Bombyx mori: one gene and its partner. The protein of the gene in region 1 interacts with the protein of each later gene in a pairwise test. Links are inferred from orthologs where the notes say so. Each region holds a gene or a part of one and is shown on either strand. Other genes may lie near its edges. The genes, in order: Go and rap1 GTPase-activating protein 1.

The links.
Region 2: the proteins of Go (region 1) and rap1 GTPase-activating protein 1 interact in a two-hybrid assay, tested with the Caenorhabditis elegans proteins (2 studies listed by BioGRID). The link is inferred for Bombyx mori from reciprocal best matches to the Caenorhabditis elegans genes goa-1 and F53A10.2.

What each region holds. Positions count from the first base shown.
Region 1 is NC_085125.1:9,487,267-9,496,153, forward strand, and holds the end of Go (G protein alpha subunit Go), read right to left. Parts: intron 6,135-8,887; coding exon 6,006-6,134; intron 5,293-6,005; coding exon 5,163-5,292; intron 4,261-5,162; coding exon 4,107-4,260; intron 3,394-4,106; coding exon 3,206-3,393; 3' UTR 3,145-3,205; downstream 1-3,144. UniProt on the Caenorhabditis elegans protein: Guanine nucleotide-binding proteins (G proteins) are involved as modulators or transducers in various transmembrane signaling systems. In the 1-cell embryo, probably together with gpa-16, controls nuclear rotation and spindle elongation during mitosis.
Region 2 is NC_085109.1:6,781,122-6,789,312, forward strand, and holds the end of rap1 GTPase-activating protein 1, read left to right. Parts: intron 1-228; coding exon 229-406; intron 407-1,384; coding exon 1,385-1,417; intron 1,418-2,461; coding exon 2,462-2,652; intron 2,653-3,266; coding exon 3,267-3,422; 3' UTR 3,423-4,990; downstream 4,991-8,191.

The DNA of each region.
Region 1 (8,887 bases):
GCAGAATGATGCACCACCTCACATTCGTCGTACACTCATTAAACAAAATCTTTATAATGTAATGAAGCGTTCTTAACTACAAATTTCTGGTTGAATGTAGAATTGCTCTAATATTATTATTTTTTTTCATTAATTTACGTACACATATTGTTTACATAACAGTAAAAAACCTACCTAGCAACAAGCGAGCGTGGGCCCGCGCCGCATGCCGCCGACTCGACCGCGGCCCCCGATCTAACGAATGTCTCGCGACTCGGTTGTCTACATGTTTCTTTTCATTTTAATCTCCTAAATAGGACTCATTTTACAAAATCTTTGGTTTTAAGCAACCTCACGATGCATTACATTGAGCGCTTCGTTTTAGATCGGCGTGTGGCCCGCGCGGTCACGGTGTAGGCGTTACGTTTTCCATTTTTTTTAAATCAATTTTTACATATTCATAAACGTAAAATGAAAATAAATCACCTAACTATGACAATCGATAGTAAAGGTTACTGTCTAATTGCATTAATAATTATGTTTATTGATACAATTATGGTACTAATGCTTAAATTAGGAGTTTTTATTTATTTATTTATTATTAATAATAAATTATGTTATATAGTATATAATATGTATTGGGTGAATCGGTTACGCTAATTCGCGAATGTATACATACATAGTTTATATACTCACAAATCTTACATTCGATACGAATAGTAGCCATAAGTGGATAACTATACGCTAAGGAGTTTTGTGCAGCTTGTGCGATACGTTACTGCAGCACCGACACCAGAGAGCCGGCGAAGACACGACACCACGACCAGATATCGGCTGCACGAAAATACGTATGTAGCTTACAAATATTACAAAGCCTTCAAAAACTAAACTATATTAAAATCAAACCAACAACAGGAACGGGTCTGACGCGCAATTCTGTTTCCCCGAGAACGTAATTAAAAAAAAAAAAAACTAATGAAATAATGTAAATCACAACATACTTTTAAGCCATTTCAACGGATCAGCTGCTTCGCAAATCATACTTACATTTGACGTATAAAAGGTCATTGACACTCCTGTTCTTGGCTTGATCCCGACATAATCACTCCAACCTGAATCTGCGACGACAAATTTAAAAAAAAAAAAGCAACATCCGCTCTGACGCATTAAGATAAACAATGCACGTCCTACGTCACAGACTCCATCAACGAACAATTACAATAATGTTAACATTATAGGTACGACGATTATAATGCTATTTTAATTTATTCAATATTAACTGTTTAAACGCTAAATATACAGGGCCTCATTTAGTGTGAACGGTAACTGAAAGGAGTTACTTCTAGACAATCAATGTTATATTAATATCGGCTGCAAAGTTTTATATGCAATGTTGTATATTTCCTTAAAAATTTGTCAAATGATATTGAATGGTGATGAAATGATAATGGTGATGAAGTAAGAGCGAGAGCCACCATTAGCCGAGAGGAAAACGAAACAACTTCATGTGCGTTTATTTTCTTTTTTTTTAATTTATTATACAGAATACATTTAGAGTGCAGACTAAACAAGGCCCTTTATAAATTAAATAGTTACATGATTTTTTTAATAGATGATTAGATATGACGCTATAACTTAAAAAGTACAAAATGTCCAAACGACATGACAAAAAATTAATAATGAATATAAATATGGCATTATAAAATGATTAAACTGGAATAAATAGTTTGTGCTTACATCACTTAAATTAAAATAGGTACTAAACCTCAAGTAAGTTAGGAAAGAGTTCAGCTCACAATACAATATTAGCTAAGATATATCGGAACATAAACAAAGGTTCTAAATCCCGTAGAGTTACTGTTCGTGTTTTCAAAATTGTATAAAAATATATTTCCATCGTGCTAATACTTAATAGTGGAATGATGCATTGTAATCAGTTATAATAGGCCTGTGAACATTTCCACGTAATTCACTACAGTTCGGTGTGAAACATCAAATAATTTAAAATTGACATCAAGAGTCAAAATGTTGGACATCCATTCTATTATGTAACTTAAAACCAACCATTGAACTCAAACCTATTGATTCGATTCTTATGTGTGAAGAATATGCGATTATTTTAGGTAGAATATATTTAAAAATTATTGTGACAAAAAATTAATGATCAGGGAGCAACCAAAGAACAGATTAATAATCACGAACCAGTAGATTTTTGCAAAAAGGCGGATATCCGACTTTTTGTCTGTGATGTCTAATATTGGTTGTTGCCCCTCGGTCCGTAAGAGAGTGAGTATATAAGCAGAGTTAGTGACCGGTGCTCCGGGGGGGCCGGAGCGAGGCCGACGGTGACACAACTAGATCGTAAACGAACGAACTTCTGAACGAACCAAACGCTGAACGAACGCCTAGCACCAAAATTTAGAATCGAACACTAGATCGCTAATTCCACTGAAAAACATGTCTAACGGCAGGTCCAGACGGGTCGAATAGTTCTCAACGCAACACTTCGAACAACCGAAAGATGTCAAACTTTTGAATCGATTTATGTTTCGATTCGCGAATAATCGATATAATCGACTCGCTCGGACCCGGTATTAACGAGAACGTTCCAGCGGGGAAGGCTCGTCCGGAACGAAGAACAGAACGACGGTTTATATATTACAAGGGAAATGAAACGCTACCCGCACGTCTCGCATCTAGTCGCGCACCGCACGTCGGAGCCGCGTGACTCGTGATAACTGCACGTCGGCGGTACATATCGAGTAAGCTTACTTCTCATAAAAATATATACACCACTAGATTTAATTACCAGAAATAAATTTGAACAGGCTTTACGGGATACACGCGTTCGAACGTAATTCGAGTATTCAGAATTTAATTCGAGATGACAAGTTGTGGTTTACAAGAATCATGCAACAAATTCATAGACACGCTTGTCTCTGGTCTGGGATTAGATTTTACGATATTCGTTTTTCGAATTATCGTAATTCGAGTATTCAGAATTTAATTCGAGATGACAAGTTGTAGTTTACTAGAATCCTGCAACAAATTAGACACGATTGTCTCTGGTCTGGGATTAGATTTTTCGATATTCGTTTTTCGAATTATCTTTATCGTTAGCAGCGTGTGTATCGGTTAGGTTAGATAGCGCTGTTTTTTTTTTTATTTTTGATATAAAAATAGCGGTGTATAAATATATGTAATAGTGGCGGCGGGTGCGAGGCGGCTAGTACAGGCCGCAGCCGCGCAGGTTGTTGGCGATGATCACGTCGGTCACCGCGTCGAACACAAACTGGATGTTGTTCGTGTCGGTGGCGCACGTCATGTGGCAGTAGATCTCCTTCGTGGTGGACTTGTTCTTCGCTTCGAACTGCGCCTGGATGTACGCGGCCGCCTCGCCGTACTCTTGCGCGCCTGCAAATAACGCATTATAATCATCATTATGTATTTTCTATTGCTTTTTTTCCTTTGTCGTATCACTCTTGTCGGGGCGGTCGTGATCGTCATTCAGTATCATTGCTGTGGGCAGATGTTATGCGCCTCACGAGCGGTTTGTGATGAGTCTGGTATCAGACGTATGGTATATACTTTTTCTGATAGTGTGTGGGAACTTAATAAGAAAGATCTATAGAAATACCATATATAATATATAAGGTCCGAAAACTTTCCTCCACGGTGATTACTCAGCATGCCAAATATTCAAATAAGGTTTGAAAATTGTTAGTAATTGCTGTTGAACCGTCCGTGGCTTAATAAGTAATAAGCCAATAAGCCCGGTGTATGATTATGCCAAGAGCTTACGGTCGATAACCATCTTCCTATGAAAATAATAAAAACAATAGTAATACTGACATCTTGTAAAACTATGCATAAATATTAAAGTTGTTCATTTATTTTTCTTCCTGCCCTAACGCCACTGGATTGGTCAAGAATACTTAGTTTCGAACTGGCTTAGCTTAAAGTCTTAGGGAATACAGACCTTGGATTGGCATATCCAAATGGCAATGCATAAGCTGTGAAATTACCATTTTTACGGTCATGAAGAACTAGGTATTAATAATACCGGTCAGACATATTTTCATGCAAGATCCTCAGACTAAATTGTGATTAGTAAAACGATAAAATACCTGTATATTCTGGAAAGCATATGGTGAGCGGCGATCTGCGAATTTTTTCCTCGAAGAGATCCTTCTTGTTCAGGAACAAGATGATGCTGGTGTCGGTGAACCATTTGTTGTTGCAGATAGAATCGAACAACTTTAGACTCTCCTGCATACGGTTCTGTAAATTTAAATGCAATGTGATTAATTTGGTACATAACAGTTATATATTTGCAATTCGAATAATATAACAACAAAAATGTATTGACGAAAATTCTAGTAAAATATTTATGTGTAAAAAATTCCAAATAAGATCTGAGATCAATTAATTATTCTTAATGATAAGAAACAACAGCTTTTCTGTCTGTAATAGTTTCCAATAAATTAGTGACCTGTGAGATATCACCAGGAGCCTCCACACAACACCCTATCGTTTCATCGACATTGGTTACAATAATGTTAAAACCTTTTTTTTATTAACTAATCTTATGGATGGATCTGAATGTTGGGCGACGAAAGTGAAACATGAAAGAGGAGTGCATGCGGCAGAGATACAAATGTTGAGATTGATGTGTGGAGTGACAAGAACGGACAAGATAAGGAATGAGTATATCAGAGGAAGTGTGAAAGTAGCCCCCGTAATAAAAAAATTAAAGAGCGGACGGTTAGCGTGGTATGGACATGTGGTGCGTAGAGAGAAGATGCATGTGACTAGGGAGATGTATGGAAATGGTAGTGCAAGGTAGAAAGGGAACTGGTCGACCGAGAAGACATGGATGGAGTGTGTGAATGACGATATGAGAAAGAGAGGAGTGAGTGTTGAAATGACAGCTGATAGAAGAGAATGGAAGAGAAAAATTAGCTGTGCCGACCCCACATAGTGGGTTTTTTTTATTGCCCTTGTAGGCAGACGAGCTCACGTCCCACCTGATGATGAGTGGTTACCGTCGCCTATGGACTTCAGCAATGGCAGGGGCAGAGCTAAGCCGCTGCTTACCGATAAGGTGGAGAAAAATAATAATCTTACTCTTAATAAATAAATAAAACTGAATCATCGGCTCATTCATTACTGTATATACTGACCGTTGTTTCATCCTCGTGCAACACCTGATCATATTCAGACATGGCAACACAGAATATGATCGCGGTCACGTCCTCGAAGCAATGAATCCATTTCTTCCTCTCCGATCGCTGCCCGCCCACGTCGAACAATCTGGAAACATAATTTGCGTTACTGATTGAATCATACTACTATTTATGTCGTCACTATATCACTCTAGTTCAACCATGTATACTGATAATGTTCGAAGCGCTCGAAATATTTATGTACATACGAATGTAATAGAAACAATTATAAACTTACTGCAATTATTCAACAATGAAACATTACTAATGACGACATAAAAGTCCTTGCGCGTGCAAACTTTATTTGTAATCCCTGATTGACTTAGGCGTAATTACATTGATTAACAATTCTAGACAAACTACATATTCATTTCGTATTAGTGTCGTCATGATAGACTATGAATCTCATAAGTTAATAGATTATGAAATCATTATCAAATATACTAAATATGTATTACTGAAACACGTGACATATTTTCATGGGCCACGTTTCTCGTCGTTGAAGAGAAAAACAACAATCAACAATTTCAATAAGCCTGTTTGTTCACTTTAATCCTGAACACAGGGGAACAAACAGACAATTGTTAACATTTGTTTTAGGGCTACATTTTGTACATTAAACTAATAAAAACCAATCACTCATGGTCGCCTTATAATCATCTTTCAAATTATAAATACAACTTACAATTTTATTGAAATACTTATTGCCCCTTATAAATTGATGTCTCTTCGTTTGGCAAATTCCGTAATCGCCTATAATCAGTTACTATTTAAAGCCGTTGCCTGAAAAGATCAACTTACTTGAAATTGAGGTTTTTGAAGGAGAAATGTACTTCGACGATTCCAGTCGTTTTGACTCTAGTCCTTAGGATATCTTGTTCGGTGGGCTGGTAATCCTTTGCTCCTAACCGGTCGAGGTCGTCCAGGAAACTAGAATCAAAGGAGACCGTGAGCATTACCGAAAATACAATTGTTGAATTTCACTAACTAGTGGTCGACCGGTAGTCGAAATTCTACTATAATTAATTGAAATTATAAGTTTGTACACTATTATGATTATATTTTATACTTCTATAATCACAAATTTCGCCAAGACTACACTATAGAAAAATATTCATAAAGACAAACAATATTTAATCTATTCTCAATTTGACCACAGACGTCAAGAACAAAAGTTCGACAATAAATAGTATGCATGCGTGTGTGCGTCAAATACATGGTATGTAGTGTGTGTGTAATGTTTTCTTTATTGATTTAATGTATCTTTTATGCATAATTTACAAAAAATATTAGCACTGTGCACTTCTTCTCTGTATTCTCTATAAGTGTGGAAAACTTCATACTCCTCCGTCCGTGCAATTTTCGTAAAAAGGGATACAAAGTTTTTGCTTCACGTATTAATATATAGATGACATTGATATTATCATGTGTAAGTTACATTTTAGTAATTACATAACAACCAAAAAAAACGTTGCCAGTGTGCGAGGGTTTAAAAAATCAAATTTTATTCTTTTAAACACTCTATGAACTTAAACTAGTGTATACCACAATAGAGAGTTAAACATTCAACATGATTTGAATAATTTCGAATTTTTAATCACTTTTAAATTTAATCAATTTACCTTTTCTTTTACAATAGAAACCATAAGGAGGTAGGGCGCGATAGTGGGCATTAAAATTATATAAAAATATTCTGTTTGTGTTTCCTTAATAGATTTCACTGTGAATTTAGAATGCTTAATACGTGTGCAATTACAGTTCGATTTGCCGTTAATGTATTCATTATTCAGAATTGATAAGGAACGAATACGAATATGTTTTTATTGGTTTGGAAAACTAGTTCTTTTTTTTTAATTTAATTATACTTTAATTTTAATTATTAATTTTATTAATTTCTTTGTGTATGGGCGCTTGTATGAAAATGTTCACATACCATTCTATTTTAAAACAAATTGTTTGTTTGTTTGTATTGAGTCGACTATTATCAAAGCCGGCAATGTGACTTTTGGACAATTATAGGTAAATCAGAAAAACGAATTATTGACGTTGTATTCCATTGGCAGTCACAAAACTCTTCTGAATCACCTCTAAGATAAATAACAGGTTAAGCATTAACCTTTATTTAATACAGGTTTTGAACCGTATTCTTTGAAGGAGACGATTATATTCAAATCAATCTGTATTGACATATCAATAACATTTTTTTTTCCAAATGCACAGATTGCCTGCCACCTTTGATAATAGACGACTCATTTGATGTTTAGTTTTTTGAAGAAGATATTTGACATTCTAGGTCAAATTTTAAAGAAGGTATATTGTTAGGATACACAGTCAGGCGTATCAACGTGTACGTGGTTTAAGTCACGCATTCAAATAGTATTGGGTCACATTCATTTGTTTTTGTGCCTTAACAATGGCAGTATATTTGGCATCCACACACATTGTTCCTAAAATGATGTCTACGGTTTTATACGTATGTAAATGAATATAAATCAATGATAACGATTGCATAGGGTAACCTAAGATACGAATAAAAGCGTTTTTCTTATATTAATCAATGGAAAACTTAAATTGGTTTTTTATTGGAAATTGGGGTGAGCATCTAATAACACAATTATGTAATGGTTAAAGTGACAGTTCGTGTAAACTATATTCATACGTTTAAATAGATACATATTTTAAATAGAAAATGATTACCCAACGATTCGTTACACGAACATTTGCCCGGTGTGGGAATCGAACCCACGACCCTCGGCTCCGCAATCAGGGATACTAACTACTGCACCACCGAGACGGTAAAACCGTCAAATTAATTTAAACCTATAGACATTTAAAGACTAATCGCACTCAAGCGAGAAATCAAAGATAGAAATCTATAGGAGTGGGTGATATAAATCGTATATAGATTCAATATCTATATATCGCCGCAATATCGTTGAATCCGATATCGCCCCGCACGAAATCTATATATCGATATCAGCCGATACACGATATTGCTCGATGTGATGCGCATCGCCATATCGGACCGATTCGTGAATCGAAATCTATATTTCGATATCAGCCGATACACGATATTGCTCGATGTGATGCGCATCGGCATATCGTACCGATTCGTTAATATCAGCAATATTCGTTTGGTTCGTATCGAATCGGCCAGAGTGAGTGAGCGCACGATAGGGATATCATGTGATGAATGAAACAGAAACAGGCATTATCCATACAATTGTAAACCTTATATTTAAGTCCATATGTCTGCAGATTATTCTTAGCGTATCAGCAGGATACAATTAAGGAAAGAAGTTTCAACTTTCGACCCTAACTTGAATGCAGTATAGCCTATTTGCATCGTTGAATTTAATTTCACGCGCTTTGACCTTGAACTAGAATTTTTGGACAAGTGTTTATAAATACTTAAAAGTTTTTTGTGTTTGATTTTTAAAGTACACATTTTTCTATTTTTAGTTGAATCCAAATAATTGAGTTTATTTCTTGTGTTTGTATCTGTCTCTTTTGGTTTATTTTGTAATTTTAAATTAAGACACAAAATACTAAAAACTGAAAATAATGTTTCAAATCTCAAATATCATGAATCACTACTAGCATCCATCAATATATAGATTCAGAAAATATATAGATTCAATATCCGATATTGATCCTCGATATATAGATACGATTCGATACGC
Region 2 (8,191 bases), on another chromosome or scaffold:
CACTTCAGCTTACTAATTCGCTGTGCTATGTCTATAACTTGGAGTCCGCACGGGTAGGTTTTATCAATACAACAGCTAACCCACCCTTCAAACCGCATTACTGCTACGCGGCTGAAATTGGCAGATTGAGATCTACCAGTGTGAGCTCACAAGAGGCCCTACCACCAGTAAAAAATATCAAATCCTGAGCGCAAATTTTACTAATCATATCTTTTGTTTTATGAACAGAGCGGTCGTTCGAAGTCATCTATAGCGTCGTCGTCGGCGAGCGCAGTGTCGGTTCGTTCAGCCGGTGGGTCCGGGGAGTCCAGTCCGGATGTGACGTCACGAGCCGCCCCTCCGAGACCGCCGCTGAACGACCACAGCGACGACTCCAGCCTCAACTCAGTCGACTTGGATCCGCTTGGTCAGTATCATAGATACACTTAATGTCAGTAAGCAAATAAGTAACGGTAAAAAAAACGTAGTTCGAAATATGAATTTTAATAAAAATTCGATTTCTTTTGAACATCTATAAATCTAATATATAATATATAGATGTAATGTATAAATCTACAGTGATTTTTACGGATGATCCGTTATAACTACTGAACCATGCATCCGATTGACTTGAAACTTGGTATCCATGTAAAAAATACATATACTTAATGGATAGACTAATATTTATATGAGTGTTGGACTCCCTAATAATAATGACAATAAATAATAATGTTAATTTTAAATGCCGGGCGAGTGCGGCTAGTTGTTTTTTTTTTTTGAATTAGAATTTCAAATTTCGCAATCGTGAAGTGACTAATGTTGCGGCTATATTATTATCAGGTTTTGTCGAATGTTCGAATTGTCTACAAGTAGAAAACGATATTATTATGTTTTGCGAAACCGACTGTCGTCTATTGCATGACAGAGAGTGGAGACTTCCCGAGCTAAATGGAACAGTATTTGATCACGACGAACCTCGTTCATCCAACCTCATTTCGCAACCCAAACCTTGAGTATAATCTGTGAACACGGATTTGAGACTAGTGTAGTGTTCGTAATTCGAATTATAAAGTCAGTTCGATTGATTTGGAACTTAGTAGGTACATACGGTTTTTTTTGTTGTAAAAGTGGTTTTTGGCAAATGATACTGTCATAAACAATTACAACAATAACCGGGTGAAAAACAGTGGCATCGCCCATGCGAATTGTAACGTCCAAATGAATGAACTTGTAATTTTATTAACGTTCACGTGCAGAAATTGCGCATCATTACAACTATCATCCACAATAGCCCTGTCTCTTTCTCTCTCTTTCCTGTCATGTTTCAAATTAACGTTTAATTTAAGAATATATTTAAATAAATGTGTACACATATGTATATTGAATAAAATTATTTTCCAATTAGACGACAAAGACTGGCTGACTTGTGGTAAAACAGGTTAGTCTCCATAACAAGTATAAATTATTAAAAAAAATACTTTTTTTTGTAGATCATTTTGAGCACGTAATCGTAAATTAGAAAATCTTTTAAATATTTATTATTCGCATACATTTATTTCGATTCACGTCTTATAGTGAGTAGGAAATATATTTTTGTCTATCTCTTGCACATTAATGTCACATTATTTAATTAACATAATCTTAGTCCATTTCCATTTAGTCATAATCTTAAATTGTATTTTAATAGTTAAATACTGTTTTTAGCGTATTCAGCACGGATGTAAAACGTTTTGTATATTTTTATCTATTAATAGTTGTAGAGTTTTTTTTTTAATAATAAGCTAGACTGGTGATGGTACGACCCACTTGATGGTGAATGATCGCCATCGCTCATGGAGTTTAGCAATGACCAAAATTTTATATTATAAGTACATTTTTTATATATTTTTACAATTAAAATCTAAAAAAAATACTTTCGGGAGCGGAATGAACATCATGTGGCTACCTGATATTATTTATTTATTCACCTAAAAATCTACGTTTTGATTTAACTGGAACGAATTTCCGAATCTTGTATTTTTACTGGTGGTAGGACCACTTGTGAGTCCGCACGGGTAGGTAACACCACCCTGCCTATTTCTGCCGTGAAGCAGTAATGCGTTTCGATTTGAAGGGTGGGGCAGCCGTTGTAAGTATACTGAGACCTTACAACTCATATCTCAAGGTGGATGGTGGCATTTACTTTGTATATGTCTATGGCCTCCAGTAATTACTCAACACTAGGTGGGCTGTGAGTTCGTCCACCCATCTAAGCAATAAAAAAAAAATAGGAACTAGAAATTATTTTGATACTTTACATTATCAATATTGCTTTTTTGCACACTTTTCTATCTTCTTTAGCTTACTCTTACCTACTTAATACACGTTACTTTCGTCTGCTGCAAGGAAACATGTTAATATTTTTGTTTACAATTAAAAAAACATGTATACATAATTGAGCCATGGACGTAATATGCCTGAACGAATTCCGTGTTCCGTCCAGCAGGCGGCGTATACGTAGACAGCGACACCGGTCTGGAGTCGATGTCGTCTGCGGAGGCGGGTGCGGGGTGCGGGGCGGGCGCTGCGGGGGGACGCGCCGACGGAGCCGCACCGCCGCGGGGGGACGCCGACCTACGACAAGAGGTCTGCAGGCTCAAGAATGACAAACTGGATCTACTCAAGCAGAACATTGTGAGTATAATTCTGCTGCTCTTCTGCGTCTTAACGCGTTAATTAGCGCCGTATTGGGTGGGTCGTATGCTCGTCTGCCTTCAAGGCCACTTCGACAAAGCGACACGACATGGGAACCCTCTCATCGTGGAATGCCGGTAACCACAATCCCGACCCGACATATCAAACCCGCAAAAATTATAATTTGCGTAATTACTGGTGGTGGGACCTCTTGTGAGTCCACGCGGGTAGGTACCACCACCCTGCCTATTTCTGCCGTGAAGCAGTAATGCGTTTCGTTTGAACGGTGGGTCAGCCGTTGTAACAATACTGAGACTTTAGAACTTATATCTCAAGGTGGATGGCGCATTTACGTTGTAGATGTCTATGGGCTCCAGTAACCACTTAACATCAGGTGGGCTGTGAGCTCGTCCACCCCTCCATCTAAGCAATAAAAAAGCAAAAAAAGTATAATTAAAATAGATAATATAATCACTAATCGTACATCAAAATCTCTAGTATCATTTATATAAAAAAAAAAGTAGCAACTTGTACACTTATATCGTAGGAGCCATATTATTGTGCAAGGTAGTGCGATTCTTAACGGTTCTTCAAACATATTATTTTTTTAACAGACCTGGCAGAATGAAATCAAGAACTTACGCGAAAGAGAAATATCTCTGCAAGCCGAGTTGGCCGCCGCGGCGAGGGAAGTCCGAAGGCTCAGAGAGCAACAACAGTCACTAAGCACAACCATCCCGAACCCTTCGCCACACGATTCCACGGCCTAATACGAACTTTGAGCCGAAGCCGCAAGGCTCAAATTAACAAAATCAACCCAACTCAAAAGGTGACGTGATTATTTATTAGATCTGATTGTGAGAAATGATTAGTTTAAACTGATACCTATATTATTATTGTCGTAGAATTTTTTGAAAGTCGATCATCGTAATAGATAAATATATCGGTGTCAAAACTTAATAATATTTATAGATACATGTTGTTCTCTCTTCTGTGTTGTGTGATTCATGTTATAGAAAAATATATCGACTTGATTTCTGGCAATCTTTATATACTTAGTTCAATGTTTCATCAATAGATGTCGTAATATTTCCGAATTTTAAAATTGTATTCTATGATTGTCTTTGCGTAAAACTATGCTTCGAATACAATTATATTATATTGTAGCTCGTTTCCGAGTACAAGAAAAGTATATTATAAAAATAATCTGTAGCATATGTAGAGAGAATGTGATTCGAATCTTTTATATGTTGTTATACGAAACAAGATTGTTACTATGTCTATAATCTAAGACAAATGCTTTTTGTAAACGTTGTGATAATTAAGCTTACTTCAAATTCATGCCGTTTAAAATTAAAAACCCAACAACTTATACAAATATTATATTTTGCACTCACACTATTATCAAATACGTTTTTATTCACTGTAATATTTTATGTATTTTGAAAAGACCGCTTGTGTTCTTCAACTTTTATTCTCGACTGCGGGAATGAAGACAGGTTATATTTATTAGTTAAGATCCATATAGAATCTTGATTTTTACCAATATTTCAAACGCTATTACTGTTCCACTACACACTTCAGTTTTCCTAAAATGTATATCACGCTCATATCTACAAATACTAATTTAGAAGAAGCGTAGTTCGTTCATTCATAGTTCATTATTATAAATTGCGAGCGTTAGATGTTAGAAGAAATTTATTAGTACTGAATTATTAAGTGAAAACTTTATGACGTCATATGTGGTGTTTTAGAAATTTCAATGACTCTTAGTTTTGACATAGTTTGACTTATTTACATGATTTCCCAGTACATATTTGTACGTAGAAGTACGCATTTGCAATTATTCTTTTGGTATTGTGCAATCTTCTGTTCTTTGGGTAATTTAGCATAATTTAAGTATACCGGTTAATGTACATATATGGCGACTGGACTATTGATTTCAATAAGAAAAGCAGTATTTTTTTTTTTCATAATTTATGCTTCGATTTAAGTTCGTTTTGAGTGTTCGTTTGATTACGTTTTGTTGTTTATAATTAATATTTTATACCAAAGCTAACATTCCCCACTAAAATAGTGTAGGTTTTTTTTTTCTAGAACCAGTATTCAAGGTTTGATTGATGGACGTATGCTAACACAATTTCTAAGTTTACATTTAGCCTCGTAAATAAATGTATTCTTTTAGATATTTTGTTCGAATGTTGATTTAATAGTTGATTGTAACTAACTGTTGATTCGTCTTCATTTAGACCTAAACCAAATATTGAGCGCGGAGCGTTAGAAAAGTAGTTTTTAAGAGATACTATTGAAATATATGAATAGTTACATCCTAAATAAATGTTGTTTTATTTAACGTCCAGTGCCTTTAACAAGTGCCTTTCGTCTGTATATTGCTAGATGGTGCTACTGTGCTGTTTAGTAGTGTTGATATGTGCCAAGAGATGGCTCTCTCTACAGCTTAGTGTAATTATTTTATAATAATAATTAGAAATAATTCTTTTTTTATTTATTTTATTTTTATAAATAATTTTTTTTACTAACAATCATGCCACGTTAACTGGTCCTGTGATAAGTTCTTGTAGAACTTGTGTTACAGGTACCAGATAACGGATATAAATGTAAGATTTTTATTATACACATACATATATTTAATATACATCCATAACCCTGGAAAAGACATTTATATTAAATTTATCATACAAATATCTTCCCTTGGCGGGATTCGAAGCCGCGACCCCCTTGTGTAGTGACCATGTCACTTACCACTACACCAGACGGCCGTTAAATGGTTAATGGAAGTGACTGTGACTGTGAAAGGTTTCTTTTAGTAGTAGCGCGTAAGCGCGTAAGTGCAATTTCCTCTTTCGAGATAATGGTTAGAAACTGAATCTTTGATCACGTCGTGATAAAAATGCATCATGATTGTTGTATTTAGAGATACCAATCTAGACTAAAAAATGTCCATTGTGATTCGGAGGATTAGTATTTGAGGATTAGTATCATTCGCGACTCCGCTATAGAGCCCTAATATTGTAATGAACAAAACATTTCATAATACGTTAACATGAAATTTTGAGAAATAGCTCCATCTGTGCAGCTCAGTATTAACTGGGTAAATTTCTAGGACAAACCCTAATAGTTATTTTAATTTTTTATAGGTGTCGCTTTTCACAATTACAATTCCCAGTTGAAAAACAAAAATAAGAAAACCCGAAGATGCTATAACAGAAAATGGGAAATACAATGGCGTTACAGAATACATCCTAATTTTAAATATAAAACAATGTCGAAAACTTTGTTTTGTAAGATTGAAAAAAATAACATTGCTTCGAAAAGCACAAAATATTCAGTTTATAAAGGATTCAAAAATTAATATAAAAGCGACGTGGCAAATCATCTAAGCAATAAAAAAAAGCATAAAAAAATCCGTTAACAATAGAAACACGCACTCTTTCCATGGGAACATTTTTCACTGTCAATCGTACGGATTATTTTAGGGACTCCAAATTATCATGGCGTTTAGAGCAAGCCGTACTCTCTAAAACTAACCATAAATCATAATCCAGCGGATTAAGATCGGGACAAGACGACGACCAGTCTTCAGGTCTGAAGTCCGAAACGTTCGTTTCCAACCAAGACTACGTAGACCGAGCTTTATGACCTGGCGCCGAGTCTTGCTGGAAGGACCATTCTTGATTATTGAACATGGTGTTGTTAAGGGGCTTCACTACCTTCTCAATAATGGTATCTTGATACACTTGTGCCGATGTTTTGATACCTTTTTCACAAAAGTTTGGCTCAGTCACTCCTTCATAGCTAATACCCCACCAAACTATCACTGAAGTCGGATAGTGCCCACGTTGCGTACCGCTTCAGTAGTTGTTTCGATTTTACCACCCTATTCTCTTTTAAATTATCAGTTAAGAAATGACCAGTACGTCTCTTATAGGGTGCAAGTCCTAAGTCATCTTTTAAAATACGCGACATGGTTCTAGGTGCTATCTTCATCTCCCGAGATAAAATCTTTTACTTTCAGACAGGATTTCTTCGAATTCTTTCCCTTACTGCTTTGACCACCTTTTTCGTACGAACACTACGTGGACGGCCAAATCTTTTTCTGTCACAAACAGAAGAGGTCTCATTGCACCTATTAATAGCCCGGTACACAAACATTTTACTAATACCAAGCGTATGGAGAGTTTTAAAAATTGCATTTGGCTCCATACCTACTTTGTGTAATGCAATCACAGCGATTGGGTTCTCTTTATCACCCCACTCCATTTTAATATCGCAAAATATTGTACAATGAATGTATTGGCGCCAAAATGAGAAAACTCAATGAGCAATCATGTAAAAATGACAGATTCCAAATTCAAATGTAATATTTTGTTTATTTTTAATTGTAACAGCATTTATGGCCAGACTAAATATATACGGTACATACACCAATATAACATTTTTTAAATTTTTTATCTGTCTGTCTGTTTGTTCCGGCTAATCTCTGGAACGATTGGACCGATTTTGAGTAACTTAGGCTATTTTTTTAGACTAGCTTCGTCCCGCGGCTTCAACCGCGGTACGACAATAGCCGCGGGTAATATCGCGGGACTCAGCTATCAATAATAAAATTTAATGTTTCCGAAGCGTAGCGAGGGCGGGTCGTTATAACACTATCTACGTCTCGCGAAAACCGAAGAAAATACTATAACAAATCTTTATATTGAAGGGAATGCTTCCTGGTAATCTTAAAATATCTATTGTTAAACTTCTGTGCAAAAAGGTACCGAACAAACAATAACTTTTTAATGTTCATGTCAAACTCTATAAAATATGCACTTTTATACTAACTGTCCATAGGGTTAGTATCGTAAAGTTTTCCTCCAGCAGCAATGAGACAGCTCATAATTCTTGATAGTAAAACCTTACAAAGATACGAGATATCGCTGACTATAAATCTAAACTTTACGCTACTTTGTTCGAATCTATATTCTCATAGGCTATTTGATACATATACATATTATAACACCTTGTATTAATTTGCTATTTGAATTTTAGTAATAATTTTGGAACGTATTCACTCCGGGTTTTGAAATTCGCACCCACAATATTTTCGTTATTAATATGGAATTTTAAAATATTATGTTGCTTAAAGTAAACATTTAAATTTGCTTTCAACAATATTTAGAAGAAGTTTGAAGAAAAAAAGTTTTAGAAAAATTTATCATTTTGAACAAGAAAACTAGAAAAAAAAGAAAAGAAAAAAAACACGGATATAATCTTTTCTATTAATCCAATCGTTTTTTTTTATCTGCTATACATAGTTAATGAAATAAATATTTCGTTTCTAGCCAAATCTTTTTCAATTTCGTATAGTCAAAAGTATTCTATTTCAATTTAGTCTATCTAGTCAAAGTATTGCACTTAAATGTAGTGCCGTGTGCAAAGAGTAAATGTTCTTAAAACGTAACTGAAAACAAATCTGCTTTCGTACCGAATAAGTACGTGATTCCAGCTATTTCCGGTCGCTGGTTTCGTGAAA